4 linked regions of the Diceros bicornis minor genome follow. The protein of the gene in region 1 binds, or shares a complex with, the protein of each later gene. Links are inferred from orthologs where the notes say so. Each region holds a gene or a part of one and is shown in the gene's direction. Other genes may lie near its edges. The genes, in order: TUBGCP6, TUBGCP5, TUBGCP3 and MZT1.

What was found.
Region 2: the proteins of TUBGCP6 (region 1) and TUBGCP5 are in contact, whole or in part, in a cryo-EM structure (PDB 7QJE), measured with the Homo sapiens proteins. The link is inferred for Diceros bicornis minor from reciprocal best matches to the Homo sapiens genes TUBGCP6 and TUBGCP5. Residues at the interface, in NP_065194.3 of Homo sapiens: Glu290, Ala291, Ser292, Lys293, Arg294, Arg295, Cys296, Trp297, Glu298, Arg299, Val300, Gly301, Cys302, Pro303, Pro304, His306, Arg307, Glu308, Glu309, Pro310, Tyr311, Leu312, Glu314, Lys322, Arg325, Leu326; in NP_443135.3 of Homo sapiens: Asp211, Asp212, Arg213, Trp215, Leu216, His219, Val220, Val221, His222, Trp225, Ser230, Phe232, Pro233, His234, Leu238, His239, Ser240, Asn241, Leu242, Leu264, Val265, Thr266, Glu267, Thr268, Gln269, Arg272, Val302, Thr303, His304, Leu305.
Region 3: the proteins of TUBGCP6 (region 1) and TUBGCP3 are in contact, whole or in part, in a cryo-EM structure (PDB 6X0U), measured with the Homo sapiens proteins. The link is inferred for Diceros bicornis minor from reciprocal best matches to the Homo sapiens genes TUBGCP6 and TUBGCP3. Residues at the interface, in NP_065194.3 of Homo sapiens: Pro65, Arg67, Asn68, Leu71, Met72, Ser74, Phe75, Asp76, Arg78, Asp87, Glu90, Asp151; in NP_006313.1 of Homo sapiens: Pro9, Asn10, Val11, Leu13, Gln14, Glu25, Ala26, Ala29, Gln30, Phe32, Gln33, Val36, Arg37, Ile39, Gly40, Ser41, Phe43, Thr129.
Region 4: the proteins of TUBGCP6 (region 1) and MZT1 are in contact, whole or in part, in a crystal structure (PDB 6M33), measured with the Homo sapiens proteins. The link is inferred for Diceros bicornis minor from reciprocal best matches to the Homo sapiens genes TUBGCP6 and MZT1. Residues at the interface, in NP_065194.3 of Homo sapiens: Met1, Ala2, Ile4, Leu7, Phe8, Asp10, Leu11, Cys12, Ala14, Leu15, Pro17, Ala33, Leu37, Val40, Ala41, Ala44, Leu45, Asn48, Ile70, Leu73, Lys85, Arg88, Leu89, Leu92, Val93, Glu95, Leu96, Leu104, Leu105, Ser109; in NP_001065243.1 of Homo sapiens: Asn17, Ala20, Val21, Thr24, Val27, Leu28, Glu30, Ile31, Ser32, Ile34, Leu35, Asn36, Thr37, Leu39, Glu42, Thr43, Leu44, Ile46, Cys47, Arg49, Leu50, Cys51, Glu52, Gln53, Ile55, Asn56, Pro57, Glu58, Ala59, Leu60.

The regions. Positions count from the first base shown.
Region 1 is NC_080764.1:562,533-569,899, forward strand, and holds the start of TUBGCP6 (gamma-tubulin complex component 6), read left to right. Parts: upstream 1-4,366; 5' UTR 4,367-4,644; coding exon 4,645-5,385; intron 5,386-6,538; coding exon 6,539-6,702; intron 6,703-7,367. Other genes in the region: polyamine deacetylase HDAC10, read left to right, coding at 109-177, 357-483, 645-710, 900-959, 1,035-1,124, 1,280-1,386, 1,460-1,870, 1,992-2,076 and 5 more. UniProt on the Homo sapiens protein: Component of the gamma-tubulin ring complex (gTuRC) which mediates microtubule nucleation.
Region 2 is NC_080744.1:72,501,671-72,508,933, forward strand, and holds the start of TUBGCP5 (gamma-tubulin complex component 5), read left to right. Parts: upstream 1-4,259; 5' UTR 4,260-4,279; coding exon 4,280-4,425; intron 4,426-6,578; coding exon 6,579-6,632; intron 6,633-6,746; coding exon 6,747-6,855; intron 6,856-7,263. UniProt on the Homo sapiens protein: Component of the gamma-tubulin ring complex (gTuRC) which mediates microtubule nucleation.
Region 3 is NC_080748.1:86,404,536-86,411,913, reverse strand, and holds the start of TUBGCP3 (gamma-tubulin complex component 3), read left to right. Parts: upstream 1-4,364; 5' UTR 4,365-4,496; coding exon 4,497-4,572; intron 4,573-7,378. UniProt on the Homo sapiens protein: Component of the gamma-tubulin ring complex (gTuRC) which mediates microtubule nucleation.
Region 4 is NC_080748.1:52,856,979-52,864,859, reverse strand, and holds the start of MZT1 (mitotic-spindle organizing protein 1), read left to right. Parts: upstream 1-4,864; 5' UTR 4,865-4,916; coding exon 4,917-4,989; intron 4,990-7,881. UniProt on the Homo sapiens protein: Required for the recruitment and the assembly of the gamma-tubulin ring complex (gTuRC) at the centrosome.

The DNA.
Region 1 (7,367 bases):
AGCGGCTGCTAGGAGACCCCACCCAGCCCCTTCCCATCCTGTGCCAGGCTCCTGGCCTGGAGGTGGGAGGCCCCACCCCTCAGTGACCCCAGCGCTGTCTGTCCCCAGGATCCTCATTGTCGACTGGGACATCCACCATGGCCAGGGCATCCAGTATATCTTTGAGGACGACCCCAGGTGAGCTAGGGATGGGGACAAGACCCTTCCATGCGACGCAACTCTTTGGAGTGCTCAGCCTGGTCTCAGAAAATCTGACGGGGGAGACGTGGCCGTGTGCTTAGGGATCAGGGTTCTTTGAGGAGCTGTGGAGCTAAGGGTCCTGATCTCTGACCTCTGACCCCGGCTGGCTGTCACAGCGTCCTTTACTTCTCCTGGCACCGCTACGAACACGGGCGCTTCTGGCCCTGTCTGCGCGAATCAGATGCAGATGCTGTCGGGCAGGGGCAGGGCCGCGGCTTCACTGTCAACCTGCCCTGGAACCAGGTGCCTGCCCCTCCCCCAGCCCACCTCCCCTGCCCCACAGCTCCGGGCCTCCTGAGTGGAGCCCAGGCATCCTGCCAGGGTCACCCCCAGAGGCCAGGCCCCAGGGGTGAAGACCCCACATCCCCCTGGCGAGGCCCAACACTGACACCCTGTGGCCGCAGGTTGGGATGGGAAATGCTGACTACGTGGCTGCCTTCCTGCACGTGCTGCTCCCCCTGGCCTTTGAGGTGACTGCGTGGGGCGTTGGGGTGGTCTCGATGGCAGGAGGGTGAGATGGGGTATTCGGTGCCCAGAGTCCTGTCAACTCCATCAGAGTGGAACAAAGCCCAGGTGGGTGGGGAGGGTCTCTCTGGAGGGGCCTCCTCTGTCCCTGCTCCAGCCTCTTTCCTGCTCCTCTCCACCGGCCCTGCCCACAGTTTGACCCTGAGCTGGTGCTAGTCGCAGCAGGATTTGACTCAGCGGTTGGGGATCCCGAGGTGAGGGCCTAGCCTGGCTGGGGAGGGCTCCTGGGGTCCCGGGCCAGGCCCCCTTCACAGTGGCTCTGATTCCAGGGGCAGATGCAGGCCACGCCAGAGTGCTTTGCCCACCTCACGCAGCTGCTGCAGGTGCTGGCTGGCGGCCGGGTCTGTGCCGTGCTGGAGGTGACTGCGGCGAGCAGGGAGGGTGCACGGGCCAGAGGCTGAGGAGCAGTCAGAGGGGGTCTGCTGCATGGGTATGGCGTCCTGCCTGGGATGGCAACATCCTGCCCCAATGACCCCCTTCCCCAGTCACATCTCTGCCCTCCTCCACCTTCCAGGGTGGCTACCACCTGGAGTCGCTCTCTCAGTCGGTGTGCATGATGGTACAGGCACTGCTGGGTGACCCTGTCCCACCCCTGTCAGGGTGCATGGAGCCGCATCGCAGGTGCGAGGGGCAGGAGGGTGGGAAGGGCTGGGGGCATGAGGCCAGGCCTCACTACTCCTGCCTGTCCCTGCAGCGCCCTGGAGTCCATCCAGAGTGTCCGGGCAGCCCAGGCTCCTCACTGGATGAGCCTCCAGGAGCAAGGTCATTGTGGCCTGGGCTGGGAGGTGGGATCACACCTCGGGCTCCCAGTAAGCGGCAGTAACTCTGAACCACCTCTAGATGTGGCCCCTGTACTGAGTCCCAGCACCGGCTCCCCAGAGGGGAGGCTCTCACCTCTGTTGCCTGGCGGGCCCGAATTCAAGGCAGCAGCGGCCCAGGCCGTGGCTGCATTGAGCTCCCTCCTGGACCAGCTGCGCCTCCACCCCACGCCCTCCGTCCGCACAGCTGTTGCCCTGACTGCGCTGGATGCAGCACTGCTCCTGCCCCCTGATGTCCTCCATCAGGAGGGGTCAGCCCCGCAGGAGGAGACGCAGGTCTGGGCCAGGTGGGCAGAGTGGGCCTGGGGAGAGGGGTGAGGCTGTGTCCACCCATATGCCTGTGTGTGACTCACCTGTGGTCTATGTGTCACCCTATGTCCATGTGTCCCTCTGGTTTGCCCACCACAGGCCACATGAGGCCTTGGCCCAGGACAAGGCCCTCACTGCACTCGGGAAGGTCCTGTATCTCTTGGATGGGATCCTGGATGGGCAGGTGGGGGCACCTGGGAGGGGCGGGGGTGGCTGTGGAGCCAGGGGCAGGGCCCAGGACCTACCCGTGATGGGTGGCCTGTCCAGGGGAGGACTGGGTGGTGCAGAACCACGACACGAGTGTGGCCTTGTGCCCAGGACCCCTCCTAGAATAGCCCCCAGGGACGGGGTTCTTGAGCACCCCTCCTCAGTTCCCTCAACTAAATACTCTTTGGCAGAACGGTGAAGGGGGTGACTTAAGGTGTGGTTTTAAACATCTTATTTTCAAAAGTAGAACAATTTGACTTCAGTGTATACAGATGACAGCCACGTGGACAAGGGCCAAAGAAGGGATGTTCGGGTCTGTTTACCTTTTTGGGAATTGCCCTCCACTGCTGTTATTCACTCCACAGGTGAGCAGCGGCATCGCAGCCACCCCGGCCCCTGCTGCAGCTGCCACCCTGGATGTGGCCATTCGGTGTGGCCTGTCTCATGGAGCCCAGAGGTGAGCCTCACCTGGCCAGCCTGAGCCTCTGAGGGAATGGCCCAAGGGCATCTCCTGCCCTGGCTAGCCACATGGGGAGGGCTCTGGGAATGGACTCCAGGAGGGGTGAGTGCAGCCTGTCCTGGGGCCGACTCTTCCTCTAGGCTGCTCTGTGTGGCTGTGGGACAGCTGGATCGGCCCCTAGACCTTGCCGATGATGGGTATGACTCCTGGGTCATGTGTATGTCCAATCCTGCCTGTGAGTGGGCACATGACCCTGGGGCCCCAGGCGTGATGGGTGGGGGGAGTCTTCTACAGCTAGAATTTGGTAGAGGGGCCCTTGGGAGCAATGCCAGGAGAGTCTCCACTATAGAGGGTCAGCAGTCCTAGCACCTGTCCCCCCCAAGCTCTCTACCTCCCCTTCTGAAGTCTGGGTTCTGGAGGGTGAGCAGCGTCTCACACACATGCACACGTGTCCATGTGCTCACTCTCCCCTGGAAGAAGGAATCTATGGCTGAATATCAGGGGCAAGGAGGCAGCTGCCCTGTCCATGTTCCACGTCTCCATGCCACTACCAGAGGTGAGTGGTGATGTCACAGGGCAGGGCAGCTGCTGCTTACTGGAATCGTCATGAGGGCCAGGCCCCTGGCTTCCTTCCTGGCTTCCTGATGGGACTGCTGGTGTAGTTGCCCACCAAAGATTGGGAGGTGGGGTGGCCTGAGCTGGCAGGAGGGGTATCCCCTGAATGAGGGGCTGGGGCCATGCTCCTGTCCCTCCCACAGACAACTGGTGGGTTCCTGAGCTGTGTCCTAGCCCTGGTGCTGCCCCTGGCCTATGGCTTCCAGCCTGACCTGGTGCTGGTGGCACTGGGGCCAGCCCATGGCCTGCAGAACCCCCAAGCTGCACTCCTGGCTGCACTGCTGCGGGGACCAGCAGGGGGCCGAGTGTTGGTACTGGTGGAGGAGGTGAGTTGGGCAGAGGGGACATGCTGGGGGGTTAGGGTTAGGGTTAGGAGGTCGGGAGAGACCAGTGACTCTCTGCTTCCACCTCTGCCCCTGGCCCAGGAATCCACACCCCAGCTTGCAGGGGTCCTGGTCCGGGTGCTCCGTGGAGAGGCCCCCCCCAGCCTGGGCCCCTTCTCCAGGGCCTCCCCAGAGGACATGCAGGCCCTGGAGCACCTGAGAGGGCAGCTGGGGCCGCAGTGGAAAATGCTGCAGGTGGCCGGTGAGGCTACGGGGCAAGGCTCAGGCTGGATGCTTGGGGCCTTGGGGACATCCTGCTTTAGAGCTCTGCGGGGAGACTGCCCCTTGGGTAGTGGGGTGCTGCCCGGAACCGCTCACGGCAGTGCCAGGGGACCCTCCACCTCTTCCCAGCTCCTCCTCCAGTGCTGTGACCTGGGAGCTTGGCGTCGGCCGGGGTGGAAGTCTTTACACCCCGGGACGGACACCACCACCTGGCCCCCAGGGCCGGTTAACCGTCACCGGCACGGCTCGCCCGCGGCCGTGTCCCGACCGGCCCTGCGTCCACTCGGCGCCCCCGCCGCCCTGCGCGGACGGCCCGCCCTGCCCCCCACGCCCCGGCAATAAATAGTTAGGCAAAAGCCTGACTCCGTCTGCTTGGTTCAGCCCGCGCCGGCCTCAGTTTCCCCGCCGCGGGTCCGAGACTCCCAGCCGGAAGCGCTCCCTGGACGGCAGCTCCACTCCTGCCCCTCCGCGCCCCGCCGGCTCCCCGGTGACGCAGTTCCGGCGCGCCGGCTCCGACGGTCTGGCCGGTCGCGTCGCGGTGACGCGACGGCGGCGGCAGGAGCGGGAGCGCGCTCTTCCCGGGAGGCTGTGAGCGGGGCTCGTGCGCCTGACCCCGCGGACCCTGCCGGCCGCCCCCACTGCCCCTTGGGCGGCGCCTGCTTCGCCGTCCCTCCCGGGGACACGGGAAGGCCGCGGAGCCGCACGTGTGCCGTGTGCGCCCACGCTAGCGTGTCCTCGGGCTCGTCCCGCGCCGGGATCCTGCGGCTTGAGGGCCCGGACCGGGGGACCGCGCCGAGCCGGGCTCTGCGGCCGCAGGGCAGGGGGCGCCGAGCGGCACGAGGTGCCCGGAGCCGAGAGGGTGGGCATGGCCAGCATCACCCAGCTGTTCGACGACCTGTGCGAGGCCCTCCTGCCGGTCGCGAAGGCTCGCTTGGGCCAGCGCGGCGTGAGCCGAAGGAGGGCGAAGCAGAGCCTCAAGAGGGTGGCCTACAACGCTCTCTTCACCAGTCTGTTTCAAGATGAGACGCAGAGGCTGCAGCCTGACCCCTCAAAACTCCCGGTGAAAAACAAGATCCTCATGCTGTCCTTCGACTTGAGGGTGGGTGGCCTGGGCCCCGAGGCTGACCGTTTGGAGGAGCTGGTGGAGGAGCTGGAAGCAGGCCCTTGCTGTCCGCTTGCGGAGGTGGGCTCTGTTTTGGACCTCCTGGTTCAGCTGGCAGGGAGTGGCCCCCCGCGAGTGCTGCCGCGAAAGCGGGACTACTTCTTTAACAACAAGTACGTTGGGAGAAACGTTCCCTACAGCGGCTACGACTGCTACGACCTGAGTGTGTTTGAGATGGACGTTCAGTCTCTGATCTCCAGAGAGGAGTATCTATGTCAGGACATGATCCACAAAGCGCTTCAGGTGATGGAGGCGGCGCCGGGCACTGGCCTGCCCACTGTTGGGCTCTTCTCGTATGGTGACCCTTGTGGTGACAGGTTTGAGAGAGACACCCGGGTCTCGCTGTTCGGTGCCCTTGTGCACAGCCGTACATACGACATGGATGTCCGCCTGGACCTGCCCCCGGTGCCAGACAGCGCAGACCTCTCTGGACTGGCTATTAAGGTAGAGTGATGCTTTCCCGCCTCTGGCTCCTCAGGCGTTTGGAAATGCCTCCTTTGACCTTCCTTTGGTCATGGTAAAGGTAGGATAGCTCTCAAGCCACTTGTGGCTGAGCTGTGGGGAGGCAGGGCTGCTGGAATGCGCCTTCCTGGGTGGCGACGCTGCTGCCAACCTGCACACCAAGACAGCAGGCTGCTTTTCATCTTTCGTCTATCACGGCGTATTTAGTCACTTACTCTGCCCTCTAGAGTTGACTTTTGTTTTTGTTTTTTTTTTATAATTTTATTTATTTATTTATTTTTCCCCCAAAGCCCCAGTAGATAGTTGTATGTCACAGCTGCACATCCTTCCAGGTGCTGTATGTGGGACGCGGCCTCAGCATGGCTGGAGAAGCGGTGCGGCAGTGCGCGCCCGGGGTCCGAACCCCGGGCGGCCAGCAGCCGAGCGCGCGCACTTAACCGCTAAGCCACGGGGCCGGCCCTAGAGTTGACTTTTGAATTTAAGTTAATTAAAATGAAATAAAGTTTAGTTCCTCAGTCACATAAGTCACATTTCAAGTGCTCAGTAGCCACATGTGGCAAAAAATATTTGTTCATTCTCTACATGCAGTTTTATATACTTTTTTTCACCTATAAATGGGATTTTGCCTGCATTATTAAATAAATCATGATTGGCTTTTGTATTTTGTGGCTTTATAAATGTTGCTGGAAGGATGCGCTGTTATTAGTCGTTCCCTTACTATGAGATATTTAGTTATTTCCAAACATAAATAATGCTATAGCGAACATCTTGGTGTGTATAAATTTTTGTGTGTCTAGTATGATTTTTTTGTGTGTGCTGTATTCCCCAAAGTGGAATTTCCAGATTGGAGGCATTTCAGGAAAAATTTCATTGTAAGTTATATTGAGGGTTATGTGTTGTGTGAAATTGGAAATCGATAACCTTAATAAATTAATTTGTTTAACTTCTTAAACGATTCAGTGGGGGCAAAAACATTGTGTAGTACATACCTGCTTGAGAAAAATAGAAACGTTCTACAAGGTCTTTCCTGTAAGGAGTAAACACGTGTGTGGAAAAGTCCTGGAATTCTGATCACACTTGGGGGACATTTAGACTCAGGCATACGTGCTATTTCCTTCTTTCCCATGGTCTCCAGGTTCCTCAGAGTGTGGATCAGTCAGAAGATGAAGGGTTCCAGTCAGCATCCAATTTAACTCCCGATTCCCAGTCTGAACCAGGCATGACTCCAGACATCGACCTGTGGGACGCTGTGCTCACCTACGAGGCCAGCAAGCGGAGGTGCTGGGAGCAAGTTGGATGGTACGGGAGCCTCTGCTTTTCAGTACACTGCCCTTCCCCCCACGTGGAACAGTGCCTTTTCTCAGAGAGCCCAGGCGGTTGTTTCTAGAACAGCTGTGAAGGGGCTAGGAACTTGGAAGTTTCAGTCAAGCTAGTGTACAAAATGGTCTGTGTCCTGGGTGTCGAGAGAAACGCAGAGGGGAAAGGACTTCCAGGCTTTTTGGGGGCTCCCGCTATGCCAGTGACTTCTGCAAACCACACTTGCCATCAGAGCGGTCAGTTGGCAACTGAGTTACGTTCTTGCCCTGAGGGCTCCCGGTCAGGGGTCTGAGGGCGGTCTGGCAGGCTGTGTGATCAGTGCCAGGCTCAGGGTGCTGACGGAGCCTTCATACTGCTGTATGCATCTAGAAGGATTGAGAGTGGCGCTCTCCAGCTGACGAGAGGCTCCAGTCATGGCTGTTTCCCTGATGGTGCCGGCAGCTCGCTCCCTGGGCTCGTCCGGCCCACAGGCCTCTGCACTCAGGACCTCCCAGAGTCTGTGATGTGCTGCTGTCTCTTGAAACCTCCAGAATGGGGATAGAGGACACATGACATACGTTTCCAGGTGTTTGGTCATGGGACCCCTTTGTCACAGCCCACCTGCTGGCAGTTCTGTGGAACACCAGTTTGGGGAGCAGTGAATGAAA
Region 2 (7,263 bases), on another chromosome or scaffold:
TCTGGGAGGAGAAGGATCAATAAACCAATGAGTTTTCAGTAGCTCCTACTGCTTACCTGTAGCTGAAAGTCACCCAATTCAGGAGAATACAGCCTAAGGGGTTTCAGGTGGGGATCCAATTAGTGTTTCTCATTGTTTCAGAATTTAGACATGACTGGTCAAAAGTATATTTATGTTCCAGCTAGAATCAGCTTGCGAAAGTTTAAAGCATCCCTAAAATCAAGACCCTTACAATGAAGGCCCAGCCAAGGCTTTCTTCAAATAGCCAGTGTAATTCCCCTGAGGCTGACGGCTGTTTGGTAGGACTCTTAGTCACAAACAGGAGTGCAACCTGCCTTTCTGTCTATCTCTGACGGCAAAATGAGGTGCACCCTATTCTCGTCCGTCCATATTTTGGGATCCCCCCACAACCTGAAAATTATCAAGCCAAGCTCTCAGGACACAAAACAAGCTTGGTAAGATTCTGCTTTTCTCTGTAAACATTTACACCTTTTGGAAACTTTTGGTGGAAAGGTGGAGCTCTCGACTCTTTAAAGATTAAAGATTTTTTCTTGTTCCTTGGTTTGGTGGCTCAAAAAGAGCCCAAAATGGCCATTGTAATTTTAAATTATCCTGGGTTTTTTTTGCCAGCTGTTTATAGTTATCTCCCTTTTGGGGCTTTTATCAAGGTGGCCTCAACCAAAAAGGTCTGATAGTGAGCTAGTGGGAGCAGTTCTCTCAAGAATAATCAAGGGGTTGGCTCTTTCCCTTATGTGTCCCGGCACCCACAAAGTTCAGGTGATTTAAGCTCCAGATGAGCTGCCACTGCCAACTGCCTCACCACTAACAATGAGGGCCCATTAAGATATACTCTTCAGGAGGAGTCCCTGTGAGGCCGTTGCACGTCATGGGCAGACACCCCGACACCTCTATAAAGTCCCCAGTCACCTGAGAACATCCTGAAGGACCAGAGGGAACAATGCCTCTTTCCTTCTGAGTCAGAAGACCCTCATAAGATTAGTCTAAAAGGAAGTTTATTATGATCACCGAGAAACTCAGTCCCCAAGCAGCCAATTTCAACAAATAACAGTCAGACACAGACAAACATGAACAGACACCAAAATCCAGCATTCTGGGACTCTAACCCAGGGTACTCTGGGACTCTGATCCAGAGCTCGGGACTCGAACCCGATCCTTTTGAGTGCCTCAGCAGCTGTAACCTTTATATTGTCTCTCACATCCTAGCCTTGGGACTTTAACCCAGCAACCTAATCTCACCAGTGGGGCCTCTAACCCACTATCCTGGTGAGATATTAGACAATTAGGCACAGGCACATTTCAACAACGTCACTCACCCGAACCCAAAAGACGTCTGATCCTGGAGCTCTTTACACAGACACAGACACAGACACCATTGAAACCAGTTCCTAGATTCTGGGTGAAGTCCTATTCCTCTTCCCACTCTGGTAGGGCACCCTATTAACTAGATGGTCCCCCTTCTCAAAGAGGGGACACCGGATGGAGCGGAAGGAAAGTTCTCGGTGGTGGACCCCCGAGGTGACTCACCCTACTTCAGATGTGAGCCCATCAACCCACCAGATGTAGCCATTTCTCTTCCTACCACATCAGCGTTAGGAGGCAGCTGGCATCAGCACGGGAGAGCAGGTATGGCAGATCCCCGAGACAAAGAGAGCCTCAGCAGCCACTAGGGACTTACCCAACAGGCCGCCTATCCGAGGTCAGCTGGCCACGAGCAGGACTTCATGTCCCATCTGGGTCGCCAAATTGTTACCCCCCAATGTGGGGCCTTCTGCTCACCACAAGACATGCCAATAGTCAAGAAGCAAGATGGTAGGAGAAAAAGGACTTTTTTATTACAGCTTGCTAGCAAGAGGGAAGACGGCCAACTCATGTCCAAAAGAACCATCTTAAGGGGGCACAAAATCTTACAGCAGTTATACAGGCCATTGGGTTATTGGGGACGGGGTTAGGAATGTTGACCTTCTGGTGTTACAGACTGGGAGTGTCACACTAGATCTTTCAGTTTTCACTGATGATGGCTATCAGCATAGATTCTCTGTTTGGGGGTCATCACATTCCTAAGGAACTCAAAAAAACAAAGTTATCATCTTATCACAGCTGGGAAGTACATGCACAAGCAGGGGTGGTAAAATCTACAGAGCAGTTAGATCTCCTGGAGGGTACAAATCCAGCTGGGTTAGTTTGTCAGAGGTCGTTCAAAGTTACAACAGGGTTTTTCTTTTCTACAGTATGGCTTCTCTTATGTCAACCTTGTCTCGAGCTGGTATCAAAGGGAAGGATATTACACCTCCTCCAAATTTTTTAAGTCCCCTCCAGAAGCCAAGACAGACTTGCCCTGGCATGTAGGTCTGTGGTAGGCATTTCCAGACTGGCATAGTCCCATGTGTGGCACATTCAACAGAGACACCCCTTAAATATTTCTAAGTCCCTCCAAGGGGACATTGGGACAGGCTGGATAAGGAAGCTGGGGATGTCTCCTTTGGCCAGGCTGCAGTTGTGCATGGGGCCTGGTTTTTGCATGCACGTCCAGAAAATTTATCCAAGGCCCATTTTGGAGGGCTGCACTGGCCCTGGCCAGCAAGGGACACATACCAGTGTACCAGACCTGTTTGCCATCCTGTTTTCATACGTACTTCCCAAAAATGTTTCTGCATCCCCTGTAGAGGGGGTGACCATCTGGGGCCAAACTTAGAGGCCCACAGAAGGTGTCTCAGGCCTAACAGTGTTTTGAATGTGGCTCGGTCATCAGAGGCACCTCTGGAAAATTCCTCCAACTCCCCATTCCAGATAGGGACACTGGCCCAGTCCAGCCAGGGAGGCCCAGGAGAGTGGCTCAGCCCCCAGTAAGTCCAAGTCATTGGGAGTGCCCTATGGAAAGTTTTCTAAATCTCCATCCAGAGGCCAAAACCTAGCAGCTGGACAGGGAGGTAGAGGAGACACATGTGCACATATACTTTGATTTTTGGAGATGTACAACAAGAAATTACAGATTTGGGGTGCTAAAAAATATGTGAGCTGCATATACAGATTTGAGAGTTATAAACATACAGATGATAGTTGACACTGGAGAAGAAAAGATCGCCCAGGGAGAGTATAAATTCCGTTCCGTAGACTCATTTCACTGCATGATTTTCTCCTTATGGTATTTGTGCAATCATATGCAGTCTACGTATTAGGGAGGTGCTGTGGTCTGAATGTTTGTGTCCCCCCAAAATTTGTATATTGAAATCGTAATGACCAATGTAATGGTTTTAGGAGCTTGGGCCCTTGGGAGGTGCTTAGGTCATGAGGGTGGTGCCATCATGATTGAGATTAGTGTCCTTATGAAACAGGCCCCAGTGAGCTCCCTTGTCCCTTCCACCATGTGAGGACACAACCAGAAGTCTTCCTGGAAGACGGCCCTCACCCAACCAAGCTGGCACCCTGATCTCAAATTCCAGAATCCGGAATTGTGAGAAATAAATTTCTGTTGTTTATAAGCCACCCAGTCTGTGGTATTTTGTTATAGCACTCCAAACGGACCAAGACAGTGGTCTATCAGCTATCTGTTACTACAGTAAAGCAATGTAATAAAACACACGAAAATCTAGTAGATCTCTAAAAGAAAAAAAATTAAAGAGGTCTATGTAACAGGTTTCAGAATGGTTATGAGCAATATGTAACGGAAACAGTTTAAAGGCACAGTTTGAATTGGCCGACACTCCACTTTGGCCGACAGCGTTTATACCCTCACAAGCCAGGGAGAGCAGGAGGCGCAGCGCTCACCTGTGTGCCGGACAACCCGCTTCGCTAACGCCTGCTGAGCTGTGGACCATATAGTACCGCCTGTGTAGACAGAGGGGAACTGAGAGATCATTAGAGATTACCTCTAGAAGTAAAGTGAAGCTTGGAGCAGGATGGACAAGTAACCAGTCATGGTACCTGAAAACGCAGGTGGAAAACAGACACACTGAATGAGAATGAACTGGATGCTCTCAAAACATCACAAATCAAGCCATCAATTAAGGTTAGCCAGAGACTATTATTAATATGATTAAAAATCATGGGTAGCCCTTTGAGGACGCTCCTAAATTTACTCAGATAAGACTGGAAACGGGACACTCAAGCCGCCAACCAGGATCAGCGCCAAGACTAAACGCGGCGGGAGCTCGAACTCTCGCGACAGCGGCCGCAGCCTCTCTGAGGCGCAACGCGGCAGGAGCGCGAACTCTCGCGAGAGCGGGCGCCAGCCAGCGGAGGGCGGCGGGAGCGGAGAGGCATGGCGCGGCCGGAGCCGCTCTGGAGCCGGCTGGACAGACAGCAGGAGCGCGACGTGCGGGAGCTCATCCGCCGGGTGGCAGGCCTGCGGGACGAGGCGGACCCCAACTTCCAGCTCGCCCTGCACTTCGCCTGGTCCAACTTCAGGTGGGGGGCGCGGCGCCGGGCTCGCGCCTGGGACGGGAAGGGGTCAGGCGGGGCTGGGAGAGCGGCCGACCCTCGCAGAGCCCCCGCGTCCACTGCTGCCGCTGCAGCTCGGGGCCCTAGTGCCCCTGGGTCCCGACGCGGGTGGCACGCGTGCTGAAGCAGTGGGTTGTGGGTCGTTGGAGGTCAGCCTCCTGCCTTGGAAGCGCGTTCCTGGGGAGGGTCTGTCTGTCCTGGTCCCCGCCCCACCCACCGCACCTAGCGAGTACACTGCGCTCCACACGGCTGTGAATGGTTGTGTAAGTGAAGTTCTAGAGCACAATAGTGAGTGGTCACACGTATCTAAAACTGTATTCCCACCGGCTCCCTCACCCTGCTCGGGCCGCTCCACATCTCCCTTACCCTGCTTTCCTCTTTCTTTTTCCGTGATGTATGGCATCACACATGGGCTAACTTATCTGTTGTTTACTGTATATCTCCTCGCCCCCACCTCCAGGTAGAATGCAAGTTCCGCCAGCGTAGGGGTCTTGGTCTGTTTTGTTCATTTCTTATCCCAGCACCTAGAACAGTTCCTGGCACAGAGTACACTAAGCTGCCTGATATAGCTTCTAATACAGTTTCTCATGTAATTAATTTTTTAAAATTTATCTAGTTTACCTACTTAGGTGAAGTCAGAGCTCCCATTTTTCTTTATGGAACATGTAAATTAGACGAGACTGTTATGATCTTTACCTGTAATGGAATTATTACTAAAAGAATGTTAGTGTTAATATTCTACCTATTTCAGTAGAAATCTTGAATAGTGAACAGTTTTTCAAAATCTATAATTTTGATTATCAAACAATGATCATACATAAAACGCCTACTTGGTTTATAATGAGAATAAACAATGAGTCTAAAAGCCCACCAAGTTTCTGAAATAATAAACTCAGTTCTTAAATGTAACTGTGTCTGACTAGGTCATATAAGACAGAGAAATTTAAATGCTGTATCCCAAATAATTTATTAATATTTATAAATCGCAGTAGGTAGATGGACATCACTTTAGAGTTGCGAGAAACAGTAGAAGTCAGTATTTCCTTTTACACATTGAAAAACTAAATTGTAGTAGGTAAAGTGATGTTCCACTCAGCCATTTACTGGGATAGAATTAGATAGATTATTTAATTTATTTATTATTTATTTATTAGTGTAATTTACTTCTTTTAAGTACAGATTGTTGGCGTTGATACTAAAAAATGGAAAATAAAAGTTGAGTGAGCTATACTATAATTTTATGATGCTTTAATCTATCAGAAAAATGAACAATTCATGTTTGCTTTTTTAAAAATTGTGAACATGTTCTACACCCTGGAATTCAGAGATAAGTGACATGTAGCTTCCATCCTTAAAGAACACAGACAAAAGTTAATTACGTATGATGTAGACTAGTTCTTAACCTGAGAGCCTGACGATAGAATTTAGGTGTTCTGAATTTGGACAAGAAAATAATTACACTAACCTCTAAATAAAAAGTAGCATTTCCTTCAATCATGAATGAAAGCAACAAGCAGTATTAGCTTACTTATGACTATGTCACTGGTAGAAATCATGTATTTCACATCATATTATAGTTGCATATATTTCTAAGTATTGTTTGCTGTTACTTTATGGTAGTTATAGACCCATGCTAGATCTTGTTATTTAATGCTTTAATAAAGAAATATGTCTGTTACTATATCACAAACTTTTAAAAATACTATATTTCAGTATACTTAGTTTCCTTTGTATTTCATTTTATGATTTAAAAACATTATTCTGAGAAGGGGTCCCTAGGCTTCGCTGGGCTTCACTGTGGCATAAACAGATTAGGAACCCCTGATATAGAATGTGCTCTGCTGAACTTAGACACAGGGCATTATGGGAAGACAAAGGAGCCAGAGGACAGGATTGGGGAAGCTCAGGATGATGATCTGTGTCTTGCGGAAAGGGTACTTGAGGAGTCTCTGAGATGCACTTCTTGTTTGCCTGGATGGTAGAAGTGATGCAGGCAGAGAGATGCACTCCTGGAAATGTATAGCTGAGTATAGGGGGTCTAGGGCGACGTGGAGAGCTGTGAGACTAGCCTACTTAGCTGTATGACAAAATTAATATAACAATCGCATTTTCTCTTTTAGATTTCATAATTTCTTGGATGTCAACAGCCACAAAGTAGAAAAGACAATAGAAGGGTAAGGCAGTTGTATGTGTATGTATGTAAGTGTATATTCAGAAATAAATATGTTTTCTTATAGGTTTTTTATTAATATAGCTTTATAACAGTTGATTTTTTTAATGTATTTTAGAATTTATGAAAAATTCATCATTCATTCTGATCTCAGCAAAGCTGCTAGTTGGAAGAGATTAACTGAGGAATTTCTAAATGCATCACTTCCGAGCATAAAGGAAATAAAGGTATGCATTATATTGTGAGGTCTCTGTTGTGTATTTTACCATTTCCAATCTGATTGTTTTCAGTTTGTTTCTGTTAATATTTAAACATTCTACTTTAGTCTTGTCCACTGTCTAGAGCAGAATCTCCTGGAAATTGACTTAAGTATGCCATCAAATCCAGTGTGCCTCTGGCTTGTGAGGAAAGAAAAAGCATGTGCTTGTTTAATCATCTTAACCTACTATGAAAATTCAGATCAGAGATTGGCACAAATAATAGCACCGTCTGGCTATCCTAAAATTTTTGGATGGCTTCTCAGCACATGGTAATAATAACTACCTATATAATGCTTGCTAGATGCCAGGTGCTGTTCCAAGCACTTTTATATTCAGTCATGGGTCCCCAAGCCCACCCTTAGGCTTGATGATTTG
Region 3 (7,378 bases), on another chromosome or scaffold:
AGATTCCTTTTAGGGTGGCTATAGGAGCTCTCTGGTTCTATGGCCATACCTTAAGCTAGAAATGTAAAGACTCGAGCTTTCTGAATGCCCTTTGGTAGAGTCCATCCCACTCTACAGTCTTTGCAGTTATCATCGCTACCAACGCACCCGACCACAGCAGCTACTCAGTGTCCCAGGTTAGGCTCTCAGCCAGCGCTTTGTCCCACGCAGCTGCATGTGGTAATGTGAGCCATTTTGGTGCTCCAACGTGCCATGGATTCCACCGTCAAAAAGATCTCAGTGTACTGCAGCTCAGACATGTGAGTAACCAAATCCTGGAATCCCATCTGAGGCTCTCTCCCCTGGGATCAGTCCTGTTAGCAAGGACTGTATAGTAAGCACCACTCTGCAAAACAGAAACCACTCTAGCAACTTCAACATGGGGGATTTAATACAGGGAATTATTTACGTGGGTGGTTGAAGCAGCTGGTGAGGACTAGGAGATTAACAAGTGCAGAAAGTGGCTACTTTTCACAGGGCTGAAGAGACAGCAAGAAGACTGATGTTACTGTATCCCACATTCTGAAACCTTCCAATGGGAGTGAGATCCATGATGAGAGTTGTACAGAGGAGGTTGGAACCACGAAAGAGGGGGCTGACTGGTGGAGATGTTGCCAAGAGGGATACTCAGTTACCGTCATAGGCAAAGTGAGAAGCAGAATGCTGTGAGGCGATAACTTTGGTTGTCTCCTCCTGACCTCCAGTTTCTACCAGTGACTCCCATCTGCTGAACCTGCCAGTCGTCCAGGGAGTTCGCATCACAGCCTTCTCTAGGATGTAGGGCAGATCAGGGAAGGGCAGGTAATGGATCTGAGAGCAAATAGGCAAACGATGGGCATGTCCTCCATGGAGCCATGCTTGAACCCCACCAGGCAAAGGTAATTTGTACTAGTTACCTGTTGTGTAACAAATCATCCCCAAACTTGAGGGCTGAGAACAATGAACATTTTATTTGGTAACAATTCTGCAACCTGGGCTGGACTCAGTGCGCGTTCTGCTTGCTTTGCAGTTTCTCTCTTGTGTGGCTGCATTTAGCTGGAGGGTCGGCTGGGGGCTGGGATAATGGAATAGCTGGGCCCCTCTCTCTCATTTCATGGGGTCTCAGGATCTTTCCCTTTCCATGTGGCCTCTCTCCATGATCTTTCCTGTGGGGTAGCTGGACTTTTAACATGGAGGCTCAACGCTCCCAAGAGTGCTAGGAGGAACCTGTCAGGCCTTCCAGAGGCTGAGGCTGGGAACCAGCACAGCGGCTCTCCCACAGCATCCTACTAGCTAAAGCAAGTCAGAGATCTTCCAAGGCAAGGGGAAGGGGATTATAAAAGGTGAGAATTCTGGGAGGCACAGTTTATTGGGGGCAAGAAATGTAGAACACTACCCCATAGCTATTTCCTCTACTATAGCATATGGGACCTGTTTTTAAGAAGTCTAATTTTAGGGGTTAGACTTCTGAAAAGTTTTTATTTTTTGCCAGTTACGTTTCCCCAAGTAGGCCAGGTAGATTCTCCACTTCTCGTCTGTAGTGACATCTCAGGCAGACCCACGGCCTTTTAGTCATATTTGGTTTTGAAAAAAATTCTGTCCAGTGTTGATGCAAATAATCCATAATCAATCTATAAATCAAAATTGGGGTGAGTTTATTACGAGCCAGATCTAAGAACTAGCCTGGGGCCTTCCTTCCCCAAGGAAGGAAGGGCGTCAAAGAAGTGGGGTGTACAGAGAGGTTATATACCGTCAAAGAGCATGTATCACATATGATTGGAATGTCCCTTTTACAGCAGTCACGTGACTGCCTAGCCTACCTACCTGGCACAGCGATTCACATAGCAATTGACGAACACAGCAGGTAGCAGGTCTGTGGTCTCAAGCTGGGTGGTCATGGCAGGTCAGCAATCAATCCCTAGCCTAGAGAGAGAGATACTTATCCTTAAAGAAATGCTGATGTGGGGGAAGTTACTTTATCTTAAGGGTATTGTTCTTGCCTTTGGGCATAGTAAATATTTAAAGCAGATATACAATGCATGCTCAAGGGTCAGTCAGGCCGTTTTGGAAAAACAAGATCAAGCTGAATTCCTTTTACACCAGATGGCTTCCTCATATACTCCAGTATATCCTGCTGCTTGTCATTTATTTATCACCAGGCAAATTCAAGGCGTTTGTGCCAGATCCAATCTACAGCTCATGACTTTTCCTCATTCCTGTGCACCCAGACCTCATCAGCCTAATGTATCTGAAGAAGGGAGGGGACATCAGTTGCCCTTCTATTTTCCTCCACCTCCCATTACTAATTTTAACTCTCTTAATTTGAGTCACAATGGAAGGATTAGGGACAGAGGTTAAAAATCTTTTAATTAACTTGGCACGAGACCGTGGCCTCTGTCAGTAGTCCTCACTTTCTGGTTAACCTTGAGTGGCCGTCAATGCCATCTCTGTGGCAGGTGTCCCAGGCCAACCCTCTTGTGGAGCACATGCATGACTTTTCCTGCGGGTTCCATGCAGGGGGCTCACCTCTGCACGGTTCCGGGCAGGGTAGGTCCTGATGTCCCTAAAATTGTCTCAGGACCTCCAGAACGCCCTCCTTCCCCACGGTCACTGAGCAGCTGTAGATGGACTTTCAGGAATGGGAGTGATGGTTGGAGAATTAGCAACGCCAGCGTGGCTGCGTCCTAACAGACCCCGAGGCAGTGTCTGCCTCCCACTTTCTATGGCTTTCTTTAAAATGTAGTGTCCTCAGTTTTGTATCTAGTTGCCAATTCTTGGACGAGTCCTTCTCTACATCCTGTTACATGCCCACTGTGTATTTTAGTTATTTTATTTCCATCTTTAGATCAGAAGAGCAAAGGCACACGCAGGTAAGTTTCAGTGACAGGAGCTGGTTGTAAGGACACATGAGCACATCGCCCACTGTGCTGGGCCTTGTGTTCTCTAATCGCCTTCCCTCTCTGTGCCGCTTGCTGTCTTTGCACCCTGTGACGTTGCAAGACTGCGGCTGGGGCTCCATGACCTCGAAAGCCTGGGCAAGCACAGCAGGACGGCTGGGAAGGAGGAGAGCTGTGGATGCTGCAGTCTGAAGCTGCGGTTCTGCTCTTGGTGTGAAGTCCTGGCCTCCAGTTGCCTCACTCAGACACTCTTTTGGCCTTTGTCTTGTGACTCTTATGGTTTTCCTATTCCTAGAACTCAAACGATGCAAGGCAGGTGTTAAAATGTGCCATCAGATGAATAGTGTTCCTTTAGGGCCTTGGCCCTTCCTCCGTAGGCTCCCATTAAGGCCCATTTGACAGCCCGAGTGCTAGCAGGGTGGTCTTGTTTGTAAGGCTTGGGTTCTCCTCTGACCCTGTGGAGGGGAGGGGTGGCTTTTTCTCTGCTTACTTGGTTGTTGGAAGTTGCCTGTTTTTCTGTGTTATAGTTCAGGCCACTGGAAAATACAAATTCTTTTGATCTTAATTCCAAATTCCCTGGAAAGAAACTTAGGTTGGTCCAGCGTGAGACAACTACTCGCCCTTGGTCTAATCTACTGACTTGAACAGTATACTCCTGGTTGCCGGGATCCCATAACTCTGACCAGCCGATGTGTGGACTGGCTCATCTGGCCCTGGACTGGGCCATTCTCAGCACCCGGCTTCTCCGCACACTCATGTGACACGTCTATAAGTTCGTGGAGAGTGACTTGTCCTAACTGCCTGTTATTCCTCCTTTTCAGGCCTCTCCCCTCTCTCACTCTTCATCTGACTTGTCTCTCATGACTGTACTGGTCACCTGGGATCAGGTGGGGACGGGCTCTGAGATGGTGAGCAGCCACAACACACTTCTGGAAAGCTGGATGATGTGCAGGTGTCACGCTCGACCAGATGTAAAATCGTAAAATTCTTGTACTCCTTTACACAGTCTTCTTCCACTGAAAGTGTGACAAGAACCGATGACGTTTTTAAAAAAGTAGGGACTATGGATGCGCTGCTGGGCACCAAGCACTCCCACAGCAAGTCAGTGGTCGTCCTGCTCTCGGGGACGTTTGGGGACATTTGAGGGTCTGAGCTGTCCTGACACTCTGGGGACGTCTGGGGGTCTGAGCTGTCCTGACCCTCTGGGGACGTCTGGGGACGTTTAGAGGTCTGAGGCGTCCTGACCCTCTGGGGACGTCTGAGGGTCTGACTACCGGGAGGCGATGAGCAGCGAGGCCCAGCGCGCTCGGTGCCGGAACCTTCCTACCCCGCCGGCGGTGGTCGGGGGGAACCCTTAGGCCGGCGCACCCGCGGCCCCGAGCGCCCGGAAGAAGCGGCGCCTTGTGGGAAGAGCCCGCGGTTTCGGCGGGTTCCGTTAAAATGGCGCCCTGGTCGCCGGCGGTGGCCGCGGGGCCTTAGCCTGTCGGGGACGCGGGAGCCCGGGCGGCGGGGTCTCCGGAGCGCGGCGGGCTCGGGCAGGCGGGCGAGGGCCGGGGGCTCCGCGGGCAGTCCCGGGCGAGGATGGCGACCCCCGACCAGAAGTCGCCCAACGTCCTGCTGCAGAGCCTGTGCTGCCGGATCCTGGGCCGGAGCGAAGGTAGCGGCGGGGCCGGCTCGGGGCCGGCTCGGGTCTCGCAGGCCGCTCCCCGCGCGTGCGGCTCGGCGGCGTCCCCGGGGCGAGAGCGTCCCCGGGGCGGCGAGGGGCGCGGCGGTCGCGGAGCTGCGGCCCCGGGCGAGGGCGGAGGGCAGGGCCCGGCCGGCTGAGTCACCGCTCCCCGCGCCGGGGCCGGAGTGGCGCCCGCGAGGACGGCTCGCGGACGCGCCCCTTGTCTGAGTCCCCGCACGGCGGGCGCTTGCGCGCTCACCGGGGTGGGGAGAGCGGCGGCCTGGCCGGTCACGCGTCTGTGGCCGCGCGCAGGGGGCGCCGGCGGGGCCGAGCCGCGTCAGGGGCCCTGGCCCTTAGCGGAGGTGGCAGCTTTGAGGCGGAGCGAAGGGGGTGCCGACGGCTGTCACCTGCCGTATTTTTCTGTAAGGGGCTGAGGGTTGAATTTGATATGGAACTGTTTTTGGGGAGTTTACGTAGGGAACACTGCTCCCAAACCCAGTCCTGCACGGTGTGGAAAGCCATTCTGTGGTCGTGGTGCTTGTGAAAATGGCACAGTGTGTCGTTTTGGTGGGAGGGAGGGAGTAGTGGGGATGCAGCGCGAAGGAATAATGGAGGCAACTGGGTTACTTATTCCTGAAGCACCGTAACGTGGAGAAGAAACTGTTCAGTTGTTGTGGGAAGACCTTAAACAAAATTACATCTAAAGTATTGGGACTACACTTTGGCCTTCAGGATTCATGGCAATTAGCTGACATCAGTTGTTTGATGTTCTATGATAACCTTAGGGGCAAAAAGTGAAGTTTTCTGTCAGTCTATTCAGTGCCACTGCCTTCACGCAGTTCTTGCTGCGTTTCATAAAGTTTCAGTGTCACTTTACTCATCTAAGACATTTTTGCTCCCACCCCAGCGCACTCCAGGTACCGTGTTAGGTGCTGGTGATGCAGAGCTATGCCGACAGGTCGTTCCTCCCGTAGATCTTAGATTCTAGTGGAGGAGACGTGATAAAATAGGTAAACGTATAATGTTCATTAGTGATCAGTGCTGTGATGAAAAATAAAGTAAAGGGATGTCGAGGGAAGAGGTGAGGGAAAGCCTCCGAGGACATGAATGGAGTGAGGGAGGGCCCTGTGAGCATCTGGGGAGAGCTCCGGGTGGAGGGTGCAAAGGTCTTGGGGTGGGTGCGAGCTTGGTCTGCTGTCTTCTGCGTTTGTCTCCAGCTCTTCTCTATGTGTCTCTCTGCACTGGGAGTTACATTCTGATTTGATGTTCCGAGTCATGGGAGAAACCCAAGAGCTAAGGTTGTTGGTTATGACTCGCTCACTTTAATGTCAGTGTTTTCATTAGACCGGTGGGTCCGCGGTTTTCCTCCAGGGATAAACCACATACGTTCCCATTGTCACAGCTGGACTTGGAAGGCCATTCATTGTGAGGTACCATGATGTTTCTCAGTTGAAACAAATTTTATATTTGCAGCTCCTTTCGATTGACTTAGTTTCACTGCTTCCAGGAGGTTGAAATGTCTCTTCAGCAAAGTTCTGCACCCTCCTGGCTCTCCATTTGGAATTGTGTCTAAATTAAGAGTGGGCAGGCTCTCTGTGAGATCCTGAGGGGATCCTCTCGGAGTAAAATATATTATAAAATCCATTAACGACAATGCTCTCTTTGTTCTGGACAGCTAGGATTGCCAAACAGTTATTATATTCATAATTCCAAATTATGCTACTATTTACAAAAGAATTTACAACTATTTAATAGCTTGCCTTGTTTTAATTTGTTCCACCTTAGTGGGCAAAGGAGCAATATAAATTGCTGCCTTTACAGTGTTTGACATTTGAAAAATTTTTTTTTTCATTAGTGGGTATTTTATCTGATAACTAAGTAGAACCTTTGGTTAATTACTTCATTTTTTAATGACATGTTACAAACAGTTGCTGTTATGCTTTTGTAATATATTGCTTTTCTAATACTATGAAATTGAGGCATAATAGACACGTTACTTTTAATGTGAATTTCATATGAATCAATTTTTCATAAAGAACCTTTTAAAAAAAATTTTACGGTTGGCTTCAAGGGACCTTCGAAGCAAAGCACCTAATGGTAGTGGTGCTTGACATTTTTCTAAAGTTAGTATAACCATTATTCCACCTTTTCCATCTTATAACACCTGTGAATTTGCTTGAACCACAACTGTCCACCAGTGGCAGGAGAATTCTCTCTCCATGTCTCTGCCTCTCTCCTGGAGCACATTTTGCTTATTATATCTTTGGATAGTCATTATTTGTCTTTGGAAATGATGTGCGTGATCTTATAGTGTTTTAACTCTTGTCAGAGGCAGCGTTCCTTTTCATACCTTGTAACCCTCTTTTTAATTATGAGATAAAGAAGAAATAAGGGAGTTTTTATTAGTAAATATTTCAACACAAATGCTTAGGTGTGACTAAGTACACTACATACTAAAGTAAGGTGATTGCCCTAATCTGTAACACCACCGTGAGTGCACTGTGAGCCATGTGTAGACAGATAAAGAAGTGTTGTGTGCTGATTCTTGGGCCACACATGGTGTTGCTGTTGGTTTCATGATTTTCCGAAATGGTGAAGAGCTCTTGATGAAGTTTTGAATAAAGTATGGTCTTCCCTGGATTATATGCTTGGGAAAATCAATGTATATTAAGTATACATTAAAAATTATATTAAATGTATGTTAAACTGTTCACCAAATGTCTATTAATATGTATATTGAAATTTCAGAGTTTTAGGCTTCATTTGAAAGTTGTACTTAATGTGTTTGTTGTTTTTT
Region 4 (7,881 bases), on another chromosome or scaffold:
ATGAAAAGGGTCAGAAACACTGAAATAGGGAACTCGGATTAGGCAGGAAGAGACATCGGAAGCAAGTGCTTGTTTCTAAAAATGATTCAACATGTTTTAAGAGTATACTCACTACCCTTGGTAGAAGCCATAACCATTCACTGTATTACATTAGTAAATTACATTAAAATTAGGGTCTTTTCCCACTCTTTTCCCCTCTCCTATATTATAAATATATCAATTGAAATACACCAAGATTCTTTTCATAAGCCTACCCAGACAATACATCATTTATTAACAACTATACAAATGTTGTGTCACAACTTTGCTTAATTGTATTGTTGACTCTAGAGGGCAGGAATAACATTCTATCCTTCTTCAGTGTTCCTCACAGTGCCTCATAGTGCTCAACAAATATCTCTTGACTGATAGATAATAGTTGCCCAGAGTTGAATATACTGAAGAGAAGAGGCAAAATAAAGCACACAGTTTGTGTGAGATAAAAAATTAGTCTCATTTGTGACTCATTTGCTTTTAGATATTATTTTTCACCTTCTTTTTCAAAGGTATTATTTAGATTTAAGTTAAAATCTTTTTATGCTCTATCTCCATTCTATTCCCTTTCTACAACACTTTGGAGGAACATTAACTAATTATGAGGGAATGGTCATCAGGTTACCAAGCCAAGAGAGGAAGGGATAGAAGAGCCAGACAAATATTTGCAAGAGCATTTCAACATGTGCGCATCTTTGCGTGATTGAATTCTAAAGTTAAAGGGAAAAGGATTATCTATTATTTTGAACTGACAACATATGTACCTTAGGACTGAAAATTAAAAGCTGGTCATGCCAGTATGTGATATTTTTTCAAATATAAAAAAATCAGACTATAAAACTGACATCAACAAAAGAGTCCCTCGAACTATTAATGAATACTGCTATCAGTAATTTGTAATTACAGAATACTGCAATTTGTAATCAAAAACTAGGTCTGTTCCACCAAAGAAGTGCATGGTCTCACTACATTAGGCATCAGTAAGCAGCACAAGTCTGAGGCACATTAGTAGTCGGAAACCTACACGACACATTAACAAAGAAGTTAAGGCTGCTCTGATTACTAGGTGAATTCAAGACAATGTAATTCAGATCCCCAAGTGTCCCACATCAAAGTTGGATGATGTCTAGAAAAGCTCTCTCTGTTGTTAATGGATACCCTTCCATTCAATGTGTCTTAATTTGGTAAGGGGATTTTTGGCTTCCCTAAACATAGATGACAATGAAATAGCATTTTGCTTTACCCTACACCACCAAAAAAGAAAACAAAACAAAAATTCAATGGCAGAAGCCTCAATTAGGTAGAAACGTACAAATTTCAAAATGCCCTCCCTCTACCAATGCTGGGGAGGGAGAGTTGTCCCATAAGCAGCAGAGGAAGGTTATCTCTAAAAGAAAACAACTCCTACCCAGATTTGGAACTGTCAGTGAGGAAATCTTTCTGGATACAGTTCTTCAGTTACATAGGATAAATCTGTATCATTATTTTTCTTCCCTGATATCTTTACATATAAAAATATTCACTCTGGAATTTCCTCTCTCTCTTCACTTGAGAGTGGGTTATTACACTTACGTGCAAGAAAGGAAAACTTACCGAGAATGACTTAAGTATAAAGCTTGACGATGAATGTCTTCTGGGTCTATTTCTACAGGATTTATTACAGCTAGTTGATCAATAGACCATCTAAATTTCCCTGGAGTCTTAAGGAAAAAAAGTGAGCTTATGAGTAAAAGCAAACTAACATAGTTCATTAAAATGCTAACCAACATCAGCTTCAAAAATAATGTAAATGGTTACAATATAAAAATATCTTACAGATCATATTTTAAAATTTGACTTCACCACTAAATTAAAAGGCAAATGGTAATCAAATCACACTGAATCAACTGACTTGACTGTATCTCTTTAAAAATATCCAACTCTTCCCTCTGGGTGATTTTTTACATAGTAATAGAAAAATTACAGTAGAGCATTAAAGGTATAGAAATTCCACAATTAACACTCATCAGTGATGTAACATGCCCAAGTAAGAATCTCCTAGAGTTATCAAAAGTCTTTACTTTCACTAAAAATGAACTGAAATTAAACAAAGTTCTAACTACAAAAGTGCCAGCAAAAGCTCTTAAATAGTTGATCCTTGAAATAATTACGAATGGCAACTAGCACTGCCCTTTCGCATTCAATTATCCAACTAAACCAAAAACTTATTCAAATGCTAATCTGTAATTCAGAATATATTTTTGACAAATTCAGGCTTAAAAACCCCAGAGGCCAATCATTCTGGCCTTGAGGATTAAGTTGCCGTCCTTCAATTATTTTTATTAAGACTGATTAAAATTTATATGATTCAATTAAAAATCATAAGGTGAGATTAATGACTAAACAGAAACTGTGTAACTGTAAAACTTTCCTCTAGTGCATACCTGCTCAAGCTGATGTGAAAGTGTAGCATAAAGAGCCACCCAGTTTGTAGATAATTTACTAGGTTAAAAGATCAGACTTCCAAAGAACTTCTCCAATGTAGCCCATAACAGTAAGAATAAGCTCAAGTGATGAAGGCTTCCCTAATCCCCTCAAGAGCACCTTCCCTTCCATGTCACTCTTATGCTTAACCATTGCTTAACCATGGCACCTATCATATTCTGTGGTCACTAGTTTAGTTGTGTCTATCCCATTAGAGTAGAGACTGGCTTCTTTTCACACACTCTGCAAGCTAAGAATGGTTAACAAAATCCCAAAAGAATATTAGCATTTCATGACATGTGAAAATTACATGAGATTCAAACTTCAGTGTCCACAAAAAACAGCTTTCTTGGAGCACAGCCACGTTTATTTTGTCTATGGCTGCTTTTGTGATACAAGGCAGAGGTGAGTATTTGTACATCAACGAGATGACTCGCAAAGCCTAAAATATTTACTGTCTGGCCCTTGACAGAAAAAGTTTGCTGACTCCTGCATTAGAGTATAAGTTTCTTGAGAGTTTGTGTCTAATGACCTGGACTGTTCAAGGTATAACCTCTATGCCTAGCACTGTATTTGACACACAGCAGCATTCAAATGTTTGCTGAGTAAATGAGAATAGATAATTAGATGACATGGCTTATTTTCTAATATGGTATTTGTAGACATATCATCAACCATAGTATCCAGGTACATCCACAGTTGCAGGAAACTAACATATTATCTATTAAATTAAAAAAAAAAGAGAGAAATGCTAACTAAAAAAAATCTTCTAGCTAACTTATTTTTAGCCCAACCACTACACTATAAAGAACAATTTAAAAAGCACATTCCAGATATATATGTTCCATGATAAATTTCCCCTCTACCTTGTAAAGAAAGATATTACATTTAAAATTATTTTTAAACACTAGTCAAGCATAACTTACTGGTAATTTTGTTGATTTAAAAACAGAAGGACTGGAGAGAGTTTGTTCATGGAGATTAGAATAATCACCAGGACTTTCGAAAGGGTTTAAAACAGGGATCCTTCCTGGAGTTTCCGGTGTTATTTGCATTTTTGATTCTTTGACATCTCCCATAGCACAGACAAAAAACTAAAAGGAAATCAGAAGTATGTATAATAGAACTACAAAGTTCCATAGACATTCATTTTGACAATTAAAATATATTCAACAAACATATATTTCACAAAAGCATGAACTCAAAACCTAACTTCTTGGGCTTTTTTATAATTTACAAAAAGCATCACATACATTTTCTCAAGAGATCCTCTAGATAACCTTGAAAGCTAGAAAGGAAATGTATTAGTGATACCATTTTGCAGAAGAATTAACGAGCTCAGAGAAGTGGCTTTTAAGCAACAGTTGACCAAGCATGACTGAGTTCACGTCCGCCTTCGAGGCAACTAAATGCTACTACAAGCACAAATCCTTTTCCAACTAAAGGACTTATACCTATAGTGTTTTTATTCATTATCTCAAGTCTCTAAACACTTGAACATCATTCAGACAACCCAGCAATTCCCTATCAAACTGCAGTTACTAAACAACAAGTATTTGTAGCAAGCAAATGAGAGACAAGAAAGCTTGTGCACGGGTGCCTTACTTGCACATCAGCCCGGGTCAGAGAAGTACGATTGACTGAGGCTAGGAAATTAACCCCCTTTAGTTGCCTCGCCTCAGACAGCCTCCTTTCGCTAAGACCCCCAGGATTGAAGGCAAGACTGCTTTACTTTCAGTCAACAGGGCGCTACAACTAGAGAAAAAAAATCCACTTCTTGGAACGCTGAAGTGCAGCTGGCTTCGGGAAGAAGAGCAGAGGAGGACACTCATGCCGGTGTCACCCCCAACCCTACGCGATCACTCTTTCTTGGCACCCCTTTCTTCCGCACCTACTCCCTCGCTGCTCCCATTCACCCCGGGGCGAGCGGGCAGGCAGGTCGGAGCCGGGAAACGTGAAGCGCTCCAATTCGAGACAGCAAGAAAGGCCAAGAACTACAAAGAACGTACCTAGTGGTGTGTATAAAAAGGAAGCCCCCCAAAGCGACTCCAGGGCGCTCCCGAGGGGCCAGACCAGCTCCCACGACAGGCAGACTCTTTAACTCCCCGCTTCCGCGCTGTCTTAGGCCAACCAGGGCACGGGGCTTGTGGGCGACTGGCCAATCGCATCGCACCGCTGTCCGCGAACCAGCCAATCGCATTGAGGCCGCGTAGCAAATTCGAATGGCAACTCCTCGCTTCACATTCCGCGCAGAGTAACGAGGCTCCAAATTCAAATCAACGCAGCCTCACGCCGGCGACGAGCGCGAGGGGCGGAGCCTGCCCGGCGTGAGCGGGGGACGCGCGGTGTGATTGCCCAGGAGAAAGGAAGGCGCTCCAGTTCCGGGTCAGGCCCTTCTCCCACCTCCCTCGGCCTCCGCCATGGCGAGTAGTGGCGGCGCCGGGGCAGCGACGGCGGCGGCGAATCTGAACGCGGTCAGGGAGACCATGGACGGTGAGTGCCCGTTTCGCCCCCTTTACCTCGCTTCCGTTTCCCAGAGCCAAGGCCCCCAGGCGGGGGTGAGCCCAGCAGGACTTTAGGTCCAGTTCCTGCCCCCAACGGCATCTTTGAAGAGCTTCCCAGGCGATCCGCCGGGGCCGCAGGGCTGGTGTCTCCATCTTTGGAGAGTTGTCTCTTCGCTCCTGCGTAGTTTGTCGCGTGCACGGCGTTGGGCCTCCACGTCAGCCCGGCGCGTGCCCCGTCCGTCCCACGCCGGACCCCCGCGCGCCGCCCGCGCCCCCTCCCCGCGCGCCACGCCCCTCTCCCGCGCCGGGTCCTCGCGTCCTTCCCTCGCTGCCCAGCCCCGCGCGCCGCGCCCACCCCACCCGTCTCCTGCCGCGCCAGAGCCTGCGCGGCGCGCCCAGTGAGTCCCTTCCTCTTAGTCGCGAGCGGGGCGCGCCGTGGAAGGCCTCCAGACTGTCAGCCTGTGCGCACCGTGGCCGTGTCTCTTCGGTCACCGCTACATTCTTTGTCCTTTGCATTTTAGTAGGCGCTTTTTAAGCATTCGGTGAATGAACGAGTCGCCCCTTCATCAGAATCGCCCCACTTTCGTCATGGAGCGGGTGACGCCGGTGTCCGGGGCCGGTAGTGTATTTCTCTGTCTTCGCGCCCCGAGGCGTGCGGCTTAAAGCCGACACACAGGTGGTAGAAGACGAACTGAGCGTCTTGGAGTTACCCTCTCTCTAAGCTCTAATGCGGGCTCTGCCACTTTGTACCTCTAGTGGTGAACTTGGACAAACTGCTTAAACATCTTTAAGTCTGCTGCGTGTGTGTGTGTGTGTAGAATGACGTTACTGCCTCCTAGGGTTATCGTGAGTGTTTAAATAAGATAACTAGGTAAAGGCATATTGAACGTGATCATTAAAAGATAGTTACTGTATTATTTTTGTGTTAAAATGGCATCCCGCTTACAGACTCCTTTGTCTCTGTTTTATTCGCATCTATGTATATATGTGTTTGATGGATGTTAGACATTGCTTTTTGCATTTTCCAGGGGATACCCACATCACCCTCTATCTCTGTTAAAACATAACCCCATGGAATTCTCGCTAAGCAGTATTGGCCTACATATCCTACCTCTGTCTCCTTCACTGTAGGCTCCACTGCCTAATATAACCCTTCTTTATAGAGATTTCTGATAAGGCTTCTGGCTTTTTCTGCACTGGCTGCTGCTTTCCTTTTCACAGAATTACTTATATTATTAGAGCCTTTGCATCTAATTTTTTACTTACCAAGTATCTTCCTTGCAGTTTTTCTGAAAAATAGAATTTTGTTCTTAACATCATATTCAGCCTATTTCCCATCCTTCTTGATGTATCAAAACTTATTAATTTTGTTTTGTAAGTGGATTTTTCTTTTATTTTAATTTTATTTTTTTCCCCCAAAGCCTCAGTAGATAGTTGTATGTCATAGCTGCACATCCTTCTAGTTGCTGTATGTGGGACGCGGCCTCAGCATGGCCAGAGAAGCGGTGCGTTGATGTGCACCCGATCCCGGGGCCGCCAGTAGCAGAGCGCGCGCACTTAACCGCTCAGCCACAGGCCAGCCCTGTAAGTGGATTTATGTACAGAGAAGCTATATGTATACAGCATTATTGTCTACGGCCACAGGATCCTATTTGAATAGAAAACTCAGCGTTTTATCTCTGTTGGAACTACTGATGTAGAAATGAGAACTGATAGTTTGTATTGGTTCCATCATCAAGATTTTTACTGAGAGAACTGTGTGTAAAATAAAGATTTTAGAGAGTGTAAGAACATGAAAAAGTGAAGAAATGCCAGATATTTTTAAAAAAGCAAAAATTGGAGGAGAGAATGTGTGGATTAGAGAACACTGTTCCTCTGCATGCAGTTTGGCCACACACCAGAAGGTAAAAAGAAAGCCCCAAGTAGGCAGCGGATCAGCCTTTGTTGTTGTTTTTTTTTTTTTTTTTTTGTGAGGAAGATCATCCCTGAGCTAACATCCATGCTAATCCTCCTCTTTTTTCTTTCTTTTTTTTGCTGAGGAAGACCAGCTCTGAGCTAACATCTATTGCCAATCCTCCTCCTTTTTTTTTCCCCCAAAGCCCAGTAGGTAGTTGTATGTTATAGTTGCACATTCTTCTAGTATGTGGATGCGGCCTCAGCATGGCTGGAGAAGTGGTGCGTCGGTGCACGCCCGGGATCTGAACCCCGGGCCGCCAGTAGTGGAGCGCGCGCACTTAACCGCTAAGCCATGGGCCCGGCCCTCAGCCTTGTTAAATGTGGCTGCCAAATACTGTTGTGTCCATTAGAACTGTAAACTTACAGAAAATCCCTGCTATCATGCCATAATCGGGTCCAAGACAGTCACGTAAAATGTGAAGTGAAATTATTGCTAAGTTAATGACTATTTTTCATACTGTCAATAATGATTCAGGCACAAAGGGAAACAGTGACACTTGCACTGTAAATAATTGACCATACACTCAACTGAAAAAGGCCTAAATGCAGTCTTTTATAATCCCACCTTCCTCCACCCTCATTCCCAGAAATAAAACTTTAGCTTGCCCAAGGGGCTGGGCTGACCTACTCAAACACAATTATTTTTGAAATTCTGTTAATGAGGGGTTTCACTATCCATGAGAGCCTAACTGAAGTGTTCAAAGCTTGTTGAGTCTGACTCCCCTCCTTCAAGATCTAGTCTATTTCTCCTCATCCTCTTACCACCTCTCTCCTGTCAGTATTAGAGTCAGCTAACAGTGATTTAATCTTTTAATGGGTGTCAGTGATTTGCAAGGATTGTAGAACTCAGCTACAAATATTTGTAATTTTATTGTGAATTGAAAGGATTTTGATAAAGACAGGGGAGGAAGCAGTGGACTTCTGT